Linked DNA regions of Schizosaccharomyces pombe. The protein of the gene in region 1 interacts with the protein of each later gene in a biochemical or structural test. Each region holds a gene or a part of one and is shown in the gene's direction. Other genes may lie near its edges.

What was found.
Region 2: the proteins of ape4 (region 1) and nbr1 are reported together in a solved structure, tested with the Schizosaccharomyces pombe proteins (one study listed by BioGRID).
Region 3: of the proteins of ape4 (region 1) and cit1, one has a biochemical effect on the other in vitro, tested with the Schizosaccharomyces pombe proteins (one study listed by BioGRID).

Annotation. Positions count from the first base shown.
Region 1 is NC_003424.3:4,831,281-4,836,024, forward strand, and holds ape4 (aspartyl metalloaminopeptidase Ape4), read left to right. Parts: upstream 1-1,609; 5' UTR 1,610-1,630; coding exon 1,631-1,880; intron 1,881-1,976; coding exon 1,977-3,148; 3' UTR 3,149-3,290; downstream 3,291-4,744. Other genes in the region: protein pdc1, read left to right, coding at 1-6, 48-688, 731-1,090; trm7 (tRNA 2'-O-ribose methyltransferase), read right to left, coding at 3,590-4,423, 4,642-4,665. UniProt on the Schizosaccharomyces pombe protein: Aspartyl aminopeptidase that is able to remove aspartyl residue at N-terminus of angiotensin I. Also acts as a chaperone and efficiently suppressed the thermal aggregation of citrate synthase.
Region 2 is NC_003423.3:984,931-990,060, reverse strand, and holds nbr1 (protein Nbr1), read left to right. Parts: upstream 1-1,551; 5' UTR 1,552-1,756; intron 1,757-2,059; 5' UTR 2,060-2,223; coding exon 2,224-3,417; 3' UTR 3,418-3,678; downstream 3,679-5,130. Other genes in the region: subfamily NudF ADP-ribose diphosphatase Ysa1, read right to left, coding at 1-503; SHREC complex ATP-dependent chromatin remodeller Mit1, read right to left, coding at 3,737-5,130.
Region 3 is NC_003424.3:2,325,514-2,331,176, forward strand, and holds cit1 (citrate synthase Cit1), read left to right. Parts: upstream 1-2,314; 5' UTR 2,315-2,347; coding exon 2,348-2,349; intron 2,350-3,133; coding exon 3,134-4,583; 3' UTR 4,584-4,776; downstream 4,777-5,663. Other genes in the region: SPOM_SPAC6C3.03C (uncharacterized protein), read right to left, coding at 819-1,121; protein meu43, read left to right, coding at 5,642-5,663.

The DNA of each region.
Region 1 (4,744 bases):
AAAATTGTAAGTTTTTTTTAAGTTAACTTCACTAATTTTTTAAACAGATGAAAGCCTAAGATCTCAACTTTTGGAATATAAGGCTGCAAACGAAAAACATACGGAAGCTATTTTATCAGTCGTCTCCTCAACCTTAACTGAAAACACTGGTAAAATTCTAGAGTCGGTGGTTGAAAAATCGATGCAAGTGGCATTAAAGGAAGAAATTGCGAATTCCGTTAGAAATGCTCTCAAAAATAACTTGGAAAAAATTGAATCTTTTCTTGAGAATAGCATTGCAGAGCTGCAAAATTCTGTTCGAGAGGATTTTGATAAGCAGACTTCATCTCTAGCTCAACTGAGGTATAGTATTCAGAATGTTGCACATGCCCAGAAGGAATCTGAGGTAAAGTATAACGAATTGAATGAACAAGTTAAAACGCTTGAAGGCTATGTTGAAACAGTGCTTGAAAAGTTCAATGATTTGAAGATTGAGAATAAAGTACCAGAGACAGCACCTGATGTAGTACCTTCATCATATCCACCTGCTGCGGAAAGTAACGTTTCCGTGTCTAGCGATACGTCTACAAAGGACGTGGAAAAGCAGGAGCCTTCATCTGCTGAACAGCCTGCTCAGGGAATTGCTGAAAGTCTGAGAAGGCTAAAAGAATATGTTAAAGCTGGTTCTGTGAAAGAATGTGTTGCTGAGGTAAGTTATAAAATGTGATTTTTATTTTCTAATTTATTCTAGTGGTGTAACATGCCCTCTGTTGCGGGCTTTGACGTTTTGTCTGAAATTTCTTACGATAGAATGTTAGAAAATTGTAGCAATTTATTGCTTCTTACTTTTATTTATCATATTTCTCTCCTTGATTCTGTTGATGACGATCGCTTATCGAAGCGTATGGAATACATTTCTAGAATTTGTTTGAACATTGATGTTAATGACCCAAAGGTGGAAACGGTAGTTCACCCTGTTCTTACTTTAACTCGCGAAGCTTTGTTAAGGCAGTCTGAATTTTTCTCGCCTATTTTTAAACGCCGTTTAGTTGTTCTTTTGCGTGCTCTTGATGGCAAAATATCTGAAATATCCGTTGCATCCAGTAATTAGAATTATACTTTCTTATTTGGGATTTCTTAACAATTATCGTTGAATGTTTTTAGGATACTTCATCAATATGAGCCGAAATATAAATCTAATTTATTACTGCTGTAAATATTTTTATTTTAAAGAAAAATCATTGATGTCATGATTTGTTATGCCTTGTTGTTTATGTTAGGTTGCCCTCTTTTTCTTCGTTTTTTATTTTCGAGCATCTTTTTTAAGTGGTTTTGATGTCGCTCATTTCTTTTTACGATTTACTTTTCTTTTAGGGTTATTTATTTGCTAGATTAGTTAAGTTCATGGAATAGCAGGTTGTTAATTTTTGTATAACTTTCAGTTTTCATATCGTTCAAAAACCTACATACAAGCAGATCTCCCAGTCATTTTATAAACCATTTAGAAATCGTACTCGCTTTTAATAACCCAAGTGAACTCCTTATTGGGTTTATCGTTCCGGTTTCGACATGTAGTACCTACGGTATTGTCACTTGATTTGTACTCACCACTATGGTGTATTATTCCAATAACAACCGAAAGAATTCACAAATGCAATTACATGGAAAAATGACTGCCACTGCAAAAAGTTGTGCTTTAGATTTTTTGGATTTTGTTAATGCAAGCCCTACTCCGTACCATGCTGTACAAAATTTGGCAGAACATTACATGTCTCACGGATTTCAATACCTCAGTGAAAAGAGTGATTGGCAATCTAAAATTGAACCTGGAAATTCATACTTCGTTACTCGCAATAAATCTAGTATAATTGCTTTCAGTATTGGTAAAAAATGGAAACCAGGTAAGTCAAGTTCTCAATGAGTTGCCTCTATATGCTTCGCCTTAAACTTCAGTAGAGTTTGATTGTATTATTATTATTGTTTAACATTTATGATAGGAAATGGTTTCTCTATTATTGCAACGCACACTGATTCTCCTACACTTCGGTTAAAACCAAAATCTCAGAAGTCCGCTTACGGCTATCTACAAGTAGGAGTTGAAAAATACGGCGGTGGTATATGGCACACTTGGTTTGATAGAGATCTTTCTTTAGCTGGGAGAGTGATGGTTGAAGAGGAGGATGGACGAGTTATACAGTATAATGTGCATATCGATCGGCCACTATTACGCATTCCTACTCTCGCAATTCACTTAGATCCGTCTGCCAATTCTTCTTTTTCATTCAATATGGAAACAGAATTTGTTCCGCTTATTGGATTGGAAAATGAACTTGCGAAGGAAGAAACCTCTGATAATGGTGACAAATATCACCATCCTGTTTTGCTTTCTTTACTTGCGAATGAAATATCTAAATCATTAGAGACAACTATAGATCCTTCCAAAATTGTGGATTTTGAGTTGATTCTAGGTGATGCTGAAAAGGCTCGCCTTGGCGGAATTCACGAAGAGTTTGTATTCTCACCTCGTCTCGATAACCTTGGAATGACATTTTGCGCATCTCAAGCTTTAACTAAATCATTGGAAAATAACTCCCTTGATAATGAAAGTTGCGTTAGAGTTGTTCCCTCCTTTGACCACGAGGAAATCGGTTCCGTGTCAGCTCAAGGTGCTGAAAGCACGTTTTTACCAGCTGTTCTCCAAAGAATATGCGAGCTGGGGAAAGAAAGTTCTTTGTTTTCAATTTCCATGGTAAAAAGTTTTCTAGTTTCTGCTGACATGGCTCATGCCATGCATCCCAATTACTCATCTCGCTATGAAAATTCGAATACCCCATTTTTGAACAAAGGAACTGTAATTAAAGTTAATGCGAATCAGCGTTATACGACTAATTCCGCAGGCATAGTCCTTTTAAAGAAAGTAGCTCAACTCGCCGATGTGCCAATTCAGTCATTCGTGGTGCGAAATGATTCTCCTTGTGGAAGCACTATTGGTCCCAAACTTGCTGCCATGACAGGAATGCGTACACTCGATTTAGGAAATCCTATGCTTTCTATGCACTCTTGCCGTGAAATGTGTGGCTCCAAGGACTTTGAGTATGCAGTCGTCTTATTCTCTTCATTTTTTCAAAACTTTGCAAATTTGGAAGAAAAAATCATTATTGATGAATAGTTTACCAAGTTTGTTTATGTCTTACACCTCATGATACTATGGGTTCATAAGAACGCCATGAAATTTACCGAACTCGTATCTGTTGGCCGTGCTATGAGTAGTACTAGTTGCCTCTCTTATAGTTATGAAAATGATATCCACATGACAATTATAATCATAACCCCATGATTTGCTATAGCAAGGTATAAAGTTAAACATGACTAGCAAGTCTTTCAACGAAAGCATGTGTGTATCAAAAGTAATTGATTTAGATAAAAATTCATAAGAGGAAATTCTGATTATAAGTATACCGAACACATCCTGCTTTCTTTAATTTTTTTATGAAAAAAGAATGATAGGTTCAAAAATAGATTATACCTATATAATATACAATAGTAAAACCCACTGCTAAATTAAACGAAAGAAAAGATTAAATAAAAAAGAGACAATTGGAATAATAGGTTACGACATCATCTTGCTATGCTTCAATTCGATAGCTCGTTTATAAGGAGGAGCGGTTGGAGGTTGTATAACGTCTAAGGTAGCCTTTTTCATATTTATTTCAACGGGATAAGTAGCGTCCGCATCATAACCATCAAGGTCACCACATGCAATAAATGGTGCAATCTCATGAGCATTGGTTGGATCGATTACACATAAAGGTTTTGTTAAATCGGGTTGAAAATTAGAAGGGGGGTTAAAATCTTCACAAACGACAAAGGACTCGATAGAGCTAGCACGAGAGCTTCTTGGTTTAGCACAAGAAACTTTTCGAAACATCAAACGAAGCTGAGAGTATAACAGTGAAACATCTCGTCCACGAAAAATTTTTGCAACAAATTTCCCACCAGGCTTTAAAACACAAACCGCTAAATTAAATGCAGCTAACAATATCTGTGCTTGAATATATTCATCTAGGTCGTGCAAACCAGTAACATCTGGGGCACCATCACTAACTACGAGATCAGCCGGTTCATTACCAAAGTGAGACAAAATAATTGAAAGGGTGTTGGGATGAGTAATGTCTAATTGCAGGGTGCATACCCCATCGATTGGTGCCATGGGTTGAAGATCAACAGCAACAATCATAGGTTTCTCATCTGCGGCAATGGAAGTATCAATGTTTTTGAGTAACTCACGAGACAAAACTTGAGACCAAGACCCCGGTGCAGCACATAAGTCTACAACTCTTTTTGCTCCTTCAAATAAATTGAACTGTTCGTTTAATTGGAGCAATTTGAAAGCTGAGCGGGCTCTCCACCCTTGTTCCTTCGCCAGACGATAATAGGCATCTCTCTAAAAAAGTGTAAAGTTAGTATTTTAACAAAATAAATAGTTAAATAATTATTTAGCAATAAAAAAAAAATGAAATAATAAACTAAAATGTTTCTATATGCGACTGAGAAACATTAAAGTTTACACATTAATATACGATATAACTTCGATAAAATTAACGTAAACTTTTCGCTACAAAGTTAAGTATTTACAAGGTTTCAGTAACGCACGAGACATACCTTATCTTTGCTGCTTCTCCCCATTTGTTTTTCAGTTTGGTAAAAACTGGTTGAAATTATTATATTCGTTTCTTGCATCGATTGTATTGAATAAACATATCGT
Region 2 (5,130 bases), on another chromosome or scaffold:
AGCTTGATTGGAAAGTTCTCAATGTATTCGCCATCGTCAAGTTGTTGTTGAGGATTTTGGTTTTCAGGCTTCGACATGTCAATGTCAGCCAGTATAATCTTAAGATTAGCATTCGTAAGACCCGGATCATTGTACATGACAGTGGTGGAGTCCATAACAGTACCAACGTAGCCAGTCTCTTCACGAAGCTCTCGAATCGCAGCATCTTCACAAGACTCCTTAGAATCAACTAAACCTGCTGGAATTTCAATACAAAACTTGCCAATAGGAGGACGAAATTGCTTTTGGCACAACACATGAGGACTTCCGTCGATAGGAACAATGGCTAAGATGGCTACGGCATCCACATTGGCTTCTGAACGTGTCGTACGTTCAGCCATTTCCCAAAACCTGATTTTTCCTTTTTCGTCTTGCCAACGGATTTTCTTTAAGGATGTCCACTTGGCATCCTGATTCTCAAGGTTGGACACTTCCAAAACTTTAGGTTTTTGATCTTGGCTCATTTTATCAATACAGGTGCTCAAACCTTTGACAGTGTATGAAGGGTGTTGGAATGAAGTTGCTGATATTTGAAAAGAGAAGGTGGAAATAGCGATGTGAGAATATGAGCTAATCAATTTCGGAGGATGCTGGTGTCTACCAACGTTAAGTAAATATCGGGTTAGAAATGAAGTTGCATTTATACCTAATGTTCTTGTACTTTTAATAATATGCTGGAAAAAATTTCGGTGCATGAGTGACTTAAAATCCAACTGAAATATTGCTTACTTTTTTCCCGTTAATGCGTAAACGTGCGATTAGTATGACAATGTAAGTATGATGTTAATTTGTTTTGACGTATATTTACAAATTTCATTAATGTAAATATTAACAATCAGCAAAAAACCAAAATTATTATTTGAGCAAAATCATAACGCGGAGTATACCATTAATTATTAACTTAGCTATAAACTGGTCGTTTATCACCTTCTCTAGTGTCTTTTCATTTGCAATTGATTTTACAAACGGATCATCAAAAGATACCGTGACCGGTTTTAGCCAATATAATGGAGTTTTTCCTACCCTTTTCTATTATTGTAGTAAAAGATTTTACGCTGTAAGAGAAATTGCATTTATTTACGTTTTCAGTTCATAATCGCTTATTGATATTAGAATAGCGTCAACTTATGATTTAAGAATATATAATATTAATACTTTATCGACTCACATCTCATTTAAATTACATTTATGCCATAACCCATATCTAGTTTAATGTCTAAGCCGATTTCTAAGTACATTTTAGGGCTTAAGTTAAGTAGTTTCCAATTTAACTAAATCAATTTCTTTTTCAAGTTTGCTACATCAACAAAATTTTTCATATATTCATTTTTAGGGCCATGCGTTGAAGTACCAACCTCTTGTAGATAAATTCGCTAAGTTACTGTTTATGCTGTGCACGCTTCTAAACGCTACCACTTTTTAGCGACGCTTAACTTATCTATTATCAGTACGATATGCTCATCCCCCATATACGTGTGATAAGCTTACACCTCGACCTCGTTCATTTACATTACCATCAACTTCTACTAGCGAATTTGTCCTGCTCACTTCACCCGTTGAATACATCCCATTTAGAATTAATAGCTTGATTTCATAACCAATTAGGAACCCGTCATTATAGTTGCAATTCCAACGCTCCTTACATTTCGTTTGCACTGTATCTCTACACATCCGCTTCAATTATTTGTTTTGTCTTTATTTCCTGTTCCGTCTATAGGTAAGATAATTTACTTGCACAAAGTCTTAAGTTCAATGTTTGTACAACAAATTACAAAAAGGATTGAAGGACTAAAGTGGTTGATGGAACTTTAATAATAACATCTTCGATAAATATTTACGAGAACGTAAAAATCCTTGTCTTGATAAAGATTGTTTTTTCTATTGCCTTTACTCTGAAATTGCTAGCACTGTTGCTCACTTCGGCGTCACATATTTCCTCAATTTCAAAATTCATATGAACTATTAAATTTTACTTTGCAACTAATTTCATTAGTTAATATCGTTACTAATTTTGCTTTAGCTTATTTCGAAAGAGCTTTTTACCTACAATTAAGACCTTCTCTTACCTAAGAACTCGAGTTACTTCTTGACTGCTTACGCGATTTTTTTCTTTTTTTTGCTTTCTTTAACGCTCTCTTTTATCATTAAATTTTATTTTATTTTATTCACGTTTTTGATCCCGAAATGCTTTGCAATCGTACATGTCCCTCTTCTGATTGTGGGATTCTTTGCAACCATAGTGTTCCTTCCTTCCCTCCTTTTCATTCCTCAGTCGCTAATATCCACTTCACTAAGGAGAATAATTTAAAGTCAAACATTTTTGAGCACAATAATAATTCGCCTACTTTAAGGTCTTCTTCTGTTGCTTGTAACACTTGCCTCAAGATAATTCGGAATGACTCATTTCATTGCACAAAGTGTTTCGATTTCGATGTTTGTAGAGACTGCTATGCGAAACAGGCATTCCTCCATCCTTGCCCAAAACCCCATTTCGTACTTGTTCGCTCTTCAATCCCTTCAGTTGCTTCCTTAACCTGCAGCGTAAATTCTATGTCAGTTTCTCCCCAATCTAATTTTATGTACGCCATTTGTGACCATTGTGAGCAACCTATACATAATGTGCGTTACAAGTGTAGTGTTTGTGATGACTACGACATTTGTGAGTCTTGCCTTACCGACAATAGTCATTCAAACACGCATGCTTTCGTTCGAATTACTAAAGCTTATCCTCATGGTCTTCCTTCATTTCATTTGTTCCCTCAGTTCCTATCAGCCGAATTGTTTGAGTCTGCCTCAACAGTACATCGATCGGTTCAATGTGACAACTGTCTTGCTCATCCAATAGTTGGACCAAGATTTCATTGTCTGGTTTGTGAAGACTATGATCTTTGCTCCTCATGTGTATCTCATGTGCATCATGATCATCATTCAATGCTCCGTTTAACTCGCGAAATATCTGCTTCACCTTTACATTTATCTAAACCTGAAAAACCTAAGGTTCTTAATTTCGACTTCAAGTTAGTTGAGGACTCCATTCTCCCCTTAGAATTAAGCCCTGGCTGCCCGTTTTATAAAATATGGCATATAAGGAATACTTCTTGTCAATCGTGGCCTTCTCCGTTGTATGTCAAGTTTAATGGTGGAGACAAACTTTTTCCAGGAGACAATCCATATTCGTTTCCTATCACTTCTTCCGTTCATCCTGGTGAGGATGTTAATTTTACAGTTGCTTTGAAGGTTCCTGAAAAAAGTAACAAAGAGATTTTTACCGCATTTTTTAATATCTGCTCCGATGATGGTAGCGTTTTTCACAAAAGTCTTTGCGCCTTCCTTCGTGTACCGAAGTCTTTTAGCAGAATTAGTAAGTCGTCTTTTTGAAACCATTCGTAACGCTTTTTATGTCCTGTAGAAGTTTAGTGTGGAAGACAACGATAACGAAACTGATTTCAGTTTTATATTTCTTTCTTTTGTCCACTTGTCTGGCGGTTGTTCGTATATAACCGCCGGTTTTAAGTTCATGATTTGCTTCAGAGTTGAATCACTTGTTACCATATTTGATCCTACCTTGTTATAATGATCTTGATGGAAATGCTATATATGTTTAAAATTTATATTAAAAATTATATATTAACGAATAAAATGCAGGATACATATGAATATGCCAGATTAAATAATAGTATACATTGATGATAAAACTCTAAAGAGTTTTTGCTTCATTAATTATGGATTCCTTTATGATTACTTTCGATGAAAGTTCATTAGTTTTGGCACTGCTTGATACAGTAGGTTCCTCCTTTTTTTGTAGAAACGAGTTTAATCTAGCCATAGCTTGTTTTTTGATGTGAAATGGTTCTCGTGATTTGCTAAGCGAATCTTTTAGTCTATAAATCGCTTCCTTATTTCGTAACATAGGGCACGTGTCCCTTCCACTAAAGTGAGGTGTTCCACATAAAAAGCATATTTCTAATGGCACAATGCTTAATGGACAATGTGCTGGTAAATGTTTAATACCACAACATCGACAACGTACATTATCAGACAAAGAAGACAGTAGAAAAAAGTTGTCAAGAACTGCTTTAGACAAAGATCTTCCAACCAGTTGATGATTTTTTTCAATTATTTCGTAAGGTGGGTAAAAAACTGGATCGTCTATCAGTTGCATTTCCGAATCATTAATATACTCTGAAGAAGTTAATTTGTTAGCCACCTCTAAATTGATGGTGGATAGAGTTTTGTTAAATTCATCTTCTTTGGGAGTTGTTGCTAATAGAGATTTAGCTAAGATAGAGTCAAAATGAACATCTGCAGACTTTTGAGAATCAGATTCATCATTTAAGTTTTCGATATTTACGCTCGAATCATATTTGAGTTTTTGCTTATCAGATAAAGTATCTGTTATCGAACTGATTGTCTCAGTTTCTATGGGAAATGGGGAGCCTGGTGATGATCGATCATTAACGGTATAATCAGTATCGTCGCTATTATCATAAATATTTAAATCTTCGCCATAATGGATTTTGTGGTGTGCACGAAGTCTCCTGTTGGAAGTTGTTTCGTCTGTTTTTTCTAGCATTGCATCCTTCTCTCGTTGCTTAAGTATTACTGACCAGACATCTTCTTCATCAACAAGAACATTTTCTTTGACTTCATAATGATTGGAAGATATATGTTTGTTATCCCAAACACGAAAAAAGCCAAACTTATTGCTTTTTATATCTGATTCATCAGTTGAAGTATCTTCTTGTTTCTCAGCTTCTGAGATAAGTAATTCTACCGAATATTCATTATACTTAATAGACGGTTCATCACCAGCCTCTTCAAATAATGCACGAGCCCCATGCCGCAAGATACTTTCTAAATCTTTTTCTGAATTATGATTTTGATCCAATGACTCAACAATTAAGTGGTCCAATACAAGCTTCTTTTGAGCGTTTTGAATGATTTTTTCCTCTACAGAATCTCGAGTAGTTAACACAAAGACAAGTACCTTTTTTTTTTGCCCATATCGATGAGCCCTTGCAATCGCTTGCATGTCTTGATGAGGATTGAAATCAGGATCTAGTATAATAACAGTGTCCGCACTAGCTAAAT
Region 3 (5,663 bases), 2.5 Mb from region 1:
ACTAATACAAATGGATGCACAAGTTTTCAATAAAGAAAGAAAATTGCAACTTCCATCACTTTCAAAACTTTTATTTATGATTTTATCTATCATTCTCAATAATCGTAAATTTTGGACACATGTATGCAAAGCAATTTGACTTTGTTTTTTTTTTTTACGTAAAGAAACTTTTTTAGCCAACATTATTTATAACGTAGTGGATAGAATCATGTTATTATTAATTAGACGGTATATATTCCAAAAAATAAAAATAAATAAATAAATAATAAATACGATAAGTAAGGGAATATATGAGAAACAATTATATAATTGATCAATTTAACCTAAATAGATACACATCATCGACTTGGTGAGTCAGAGTATAAATGAGATTATTGGAGTTTTGTTATGCTATTGTATAAAACTATGAAGCAGCTCCAGGTTCCACACTAGTGAAATAGCAAGATTGTGAAAAATCAGCTTATATAAATGTTTCAGTTGATTTCAAATGATGTTACTCTTAACTCGTTTTAAATAAATGGGTGTATGTGAAATAACGAAGCAATTTGGGAATGCAAAATCTAATATGTACGTATTAGTTGTTGATGGATCTCTTTATATTTTTATATGGAAACACTAGTAGTCATGGTTTTAATAGAAAAGCAGTCTAGAGAGATATGTTGGAATTCGATACTTTGCATCAAAGTGTTCTATTTATTTATTTATGTTGCGTCTGTCAAGTCAAAGCACTTGAAATGACTGTTGTTGTAAAAAAAAGGAATCCCGAAGAAAAATTATATGTTTTTGAATTAATTCATTTCTATATTTATTTTTAAGAGCTATTTTTGAGTTTTGAATCCTCTAGCCAAAAAGTAGTAACTACAGTCTACACGCTCTCTTACCTTGGCCGACGGGGTATGTACAATACCAACTCGAACGGTTCCCCACATGGTTCTCCAATGTGGGATACTTGGAATGGTATTCAGTAACGATCTAAAAGTCGCAATTCTAATATTCCACCCCCACTTTGTCTCATTGGGGTCCAAGTTTTTGGATGGGAATAAAAAGCGAAACGAGCTGTAACGCTTAGCGTTAGTGAAAATAGCGATTACCACTAGCAATCCTAAGAAAAAAACATCCATCTAAACTTCGTCAATAGCAATGGTTGAGCAGTTAGAAAAAGTTATCAAAAACTTTCTTACCTATAAAAATTATTTTCTTGTCGCTTGTCAACATCTCTATTCATTTATTCACTCCCGATACATGCATATGCATTGCCGTAACGCACATGCAAGAGATGAAGCTACTTCAGTCAACGTTCATTGAGTAAATATTTGCATAGCTAAGCAATTCTTTTCTGTATCTATTGTAGTACTATGTTTGACTGAGAAATCCGCTACCGCGGAAGTTCTCCTAAATTTTGATCTTTACTGATATCATTAGCTCGATCGATCGGAGCAACTACCCTTTTTTACCTGATCAAGACAAGCAAATTCTCGAAATTCGGCTTGTTATCTATTTAAAATTTCAAAAAAAAAAAAAAAAAAGAAAAAAAACTTATGAGAGATAAAATTTGTAGCACAAAGTATGGTAACCAAGAACCAAAGATGCGTTTATTGATAGTAACAGTAAATAGCACTTCACTTGCAAGGCCAACAATACAAGACACTATGGTAATGTAGATCAGTACGTTTTCAAAGCATAAAATGTACAAATTGTTTGTTGGTAGGAAATCAATACTTATTCATACCCATCTCGTTTCTCTCATTGTTGAAAGGATATAATATCAATCTATGTAGTCTAATTTGTATCATTCAACAATTATGGAAACATCGGATACGCCTCTTTTCAAATTTTCTTACTCCTTAATTTATTTTTGATCAAAGTACATCTAAATAATAAAATATTATTTTTTCCTGCGACGATGAACCGGGTTTCCATGCAAGGTTGCCTGTCCCAATCATAAAAGTGAGATTTGACTTTTCAACGGGTTTGTAAGTTGTAGGCTAAAGTTCATTAGTAAATATGTGATAAATAAGGCTTTCTTTCTTCATTACAATTTTTTCTTACTGTTTGGTGGATTTCGGCTTTGTTGCCCAAGTCATTCTCCACAAACCTTCTTCACTTTACTGAATTTTAAGTGGTTTTGTATTTCGTATTCACCGACATCAGAAGCGAGTCTATATGCTAAGGTTGTTCCTCTCCTCGGTTTTGGCTAGTTGTTGAATGGACAGAATCATGGGGCACTGACGTCGCACCCTCCCCTCCGTTCATGCTAATGGTACTCAGGTTTACCGAATAAATAGTCCCCCATCCCAGCAATTATTCTTTCCTTAGCCAATATCGGTGCATTGTAATACCCTTTTTCATGTAAGTGCAAGCCTAAAGGTGTTTGAGATTTGATCTTGTCGAGAGGCAGTAGGATATTCTCTAGTGCATAGTTTAGAAAATCCTCCTTTGTGATAATTTTGATTTTGCGTTTCGTTGGCCTTTTGGTCTTACGAAATGTCGGTTTTCTTGAAAGAAAGTCTTATATTTTTGGTTGGAAATATAGTTTACTCGATGCTCTAATTCATGTCTGCCAATGCTAGGACTTTTTTCATCTGCGCTTATCTTGGGGTCAATCCTATACATAGCGTATGCAAATTTTCACTCAAAATGGGTTCATTTCTCTTACTTTGAAGAGGATAGAAAAGGTCTTCAAAAGCTCAATTTTTTTTTCTATTTAAAATTAGATGCCGTTATTGATAATGACTACGCTACTAAATTTGTGGTTCCTGTCTATATCTATGACCCATCTGAGTGTGCTCAGATTAAGCACACTAGTTGAATTGAAAATTAATTATTGATTTTTGATAACAAACCCCGTCTTTAGCTTGTTTGAAATTAAAGTGACTTTTCTCATTGGCGATTATTGATAGTCAATTTTTTTTCTATTTTTCACGATAGTTCTCTTAGATATTATCATTAACCGACTTTCTATTCTTATTGCTTATTTCTTTTTTTCTGTTTGTTAAATTTGCGAATCGGCCTTCACTATCTCCTTGATCTGATATCCTTCGTTCTCTCATATTATTACAAAGGAGCTTTTCCCGCATTTCACGCCTTCTTTTATTTCCCAAGTTTTACTTTTTACTAACTTTTAAATTATTAGGATGATTATATTAAACGCACCTCGTTTTATGACAAACACAAGATTAGCTAGTACTCGACGACTTGCTTCGTCGTTACTTTCTCAAGCGTCGCTTCGTTCCCGTCAATTAAACCCCCTTTTCACATCTTCTTACTCAACTCGTTCCTCTTCCTTAAAGGATCGGTTAGCTGAGCTTATTCCTGAAAAACAAGCAGAAATCAAAAAATTTCGCGCAGAACATGGCCAAGATGTCATTGGTGAGGTAACTATCAATCAAATGTATGGTGGTGCTCGTGGGGTTCGTTCTTTAATATGGGAAGGCTCTGTTTTAGACCCTAACGAGGGTATCCGATTCCGTGGTTATACTATCCCGGAATGCCAAAAATTACTTCCTTCTTCTCCCAACGGAAAACAGCCTCTTCCTGAATCTTTGTTCTGGCTTTTAGTTACCGGGGAAATTCCTACTCTGAGTCAAGTGCAGGCGCTTTCCGCTGACTGGGCCGCCCGTTCTCAGTTACCCAAATTTGTTGAAGAACTCATTGACCGTTGCCCTCCTACCCTTCATCCAATGGCCCAATTCTCTCTCGCTGTTACTGCACTTGAGCACGATTCTGCATTTGCTAAAGCATATGAGCGTGGAATGAACAAGCATGATTATTGGAAGTATGAATATGAAGACTGCATGGATTTGATTGCCAAGACCGTTCCAATTGCCGGTCGTATCTACCGCAATTTGTACCGTGATGGTGTTGTTGCTCCTATTCAAATGGATAAGGACCATTCGTACAATTTTGCTAATGTTCTGGGCTTTGCTAACAATGAGGAATTTGTGGAGCTTATGCGTCTTTATTTGACCATCCATGCTGACCACGAAGGTGGTAATGTATCTGCTCACACCGGTCATTTGGTAGGTTCTGCTCTTTCTTCACCCTTTTTGTCGATGGCTGCCTCCTTAAATGGACTTGCTGGTCCCCTTCATGGTCTTGCCAACCAAGAAGTTTTGAACTTTTTGATTACAATGAAGAAAGAAATCGGTGATGATTTATCTGAAGAAACAATCAAGTCTTATCTCTGGAAGCTTTTGAATTCTGGTCGTGTTGTTCCTGGTTATGGTCATGCCGTACTTCGTAAGACAGATCCTCGCTATACGGCTCAGCGTGAATTTGCACTTGAGCATCTTCCTAAAGATCCCATGTTTCAACTTGTAAGCCGTCTGTATGAAATAGTTCCAGGTGTTCTTACAGAGCATGGAAAAACCAAAAATCCATATCCCAACGTTGACTCACATTCTGGTGTTCTTTTGCAATATTATGGCTTGAAAGAACAAAGCTTCTACACCGTTTTGTTCGGTGTTTCTCGAACACTCGGTGTTGCCTCTCAACTCATCTGGGATCGAGCTTTGGGACTACCTATTGAGCGTCCTAAGTCTTTCTCTACTGAAGCATTAAAGAAGATGGTTGAAACGAAATGATTATCTTATTTCTTACAATGAAAATTATGTCGGCGCTTTTTTTTTCATTCATTATTTGTATAAATGTTTTATTTCCTACTTAGTTTTTACTGTGTTGGTGTTGTCAATTCCCGTTGCATTTAAAAATTGAATATCCGCAAATATATCAGCAAACACAATAATATTAATAATAAATTTCAAAATTGGTATAGCAAACAATGAATTTACTTAACTCTGTTGTATTCATGGCTTTAAAAAGTCTAACGTATAAGTTTTCAGTAAGCAAATTGTTATTTCAAAAGGCCTTCTCATCATCTGGTAACTTTCTATATATTTTAGCTAAATTATTTAATTTGGTATGAATGTAAAACACGCATAGTCAGACGAAAGCAATCCAATTAGGCTTTCGTCCCGGCTTAATTGGTGTCTAATATCTTTTTCTGCATATACACAGCGTACCAAAAGTCACTGTTAGCACTCCTTTTAGTTGCACGTGGATTCACAAGACCAAAGAACTTTGATTCACCGAGACTCAAATTCCAAAGCCTCCAATCGTGCTATGTATGTGGCATAGAAAAAGATAAAATTTCTAAATGGAAGAGATATATATATGAATAAAAATTCCTGAACTACCGTATTTCACTAGTTTTCATTAGGCTGGTTTAAGATAGTTTTCTAATTGCTTCGCAATTTGTTTCAATTTTACGAATTGCTGTATTAAGCAGAATATAATTAGTAAAAAATATGATTTGGAGTAATTTGTATTAAGACTTATTAGCTACCATAAGATATCGTCTTGAAATTCATTGATAGATTTGGTGTAGCTGCTTCATAAAAAAAGACGGAGATTGGATCTTAAAATCTGTAATTTCAGGCCATTTCTTTGATCTAACTTATAACTGCTAACTAGTTGAATGTTTATTGGTGGGGAGTAGCTTTGAGATGTTGCTACTGTTTGGCGTACCGCCAAACACCTGCCAATCTTTTACAATTAACGCGACTCCTCTATACATCAATACAAACATTGAAGCAACATATAACCATCACACGGCGTTTGTATTACCATCGTAAAAGAAAAAATGAATAACATTACACGTGACA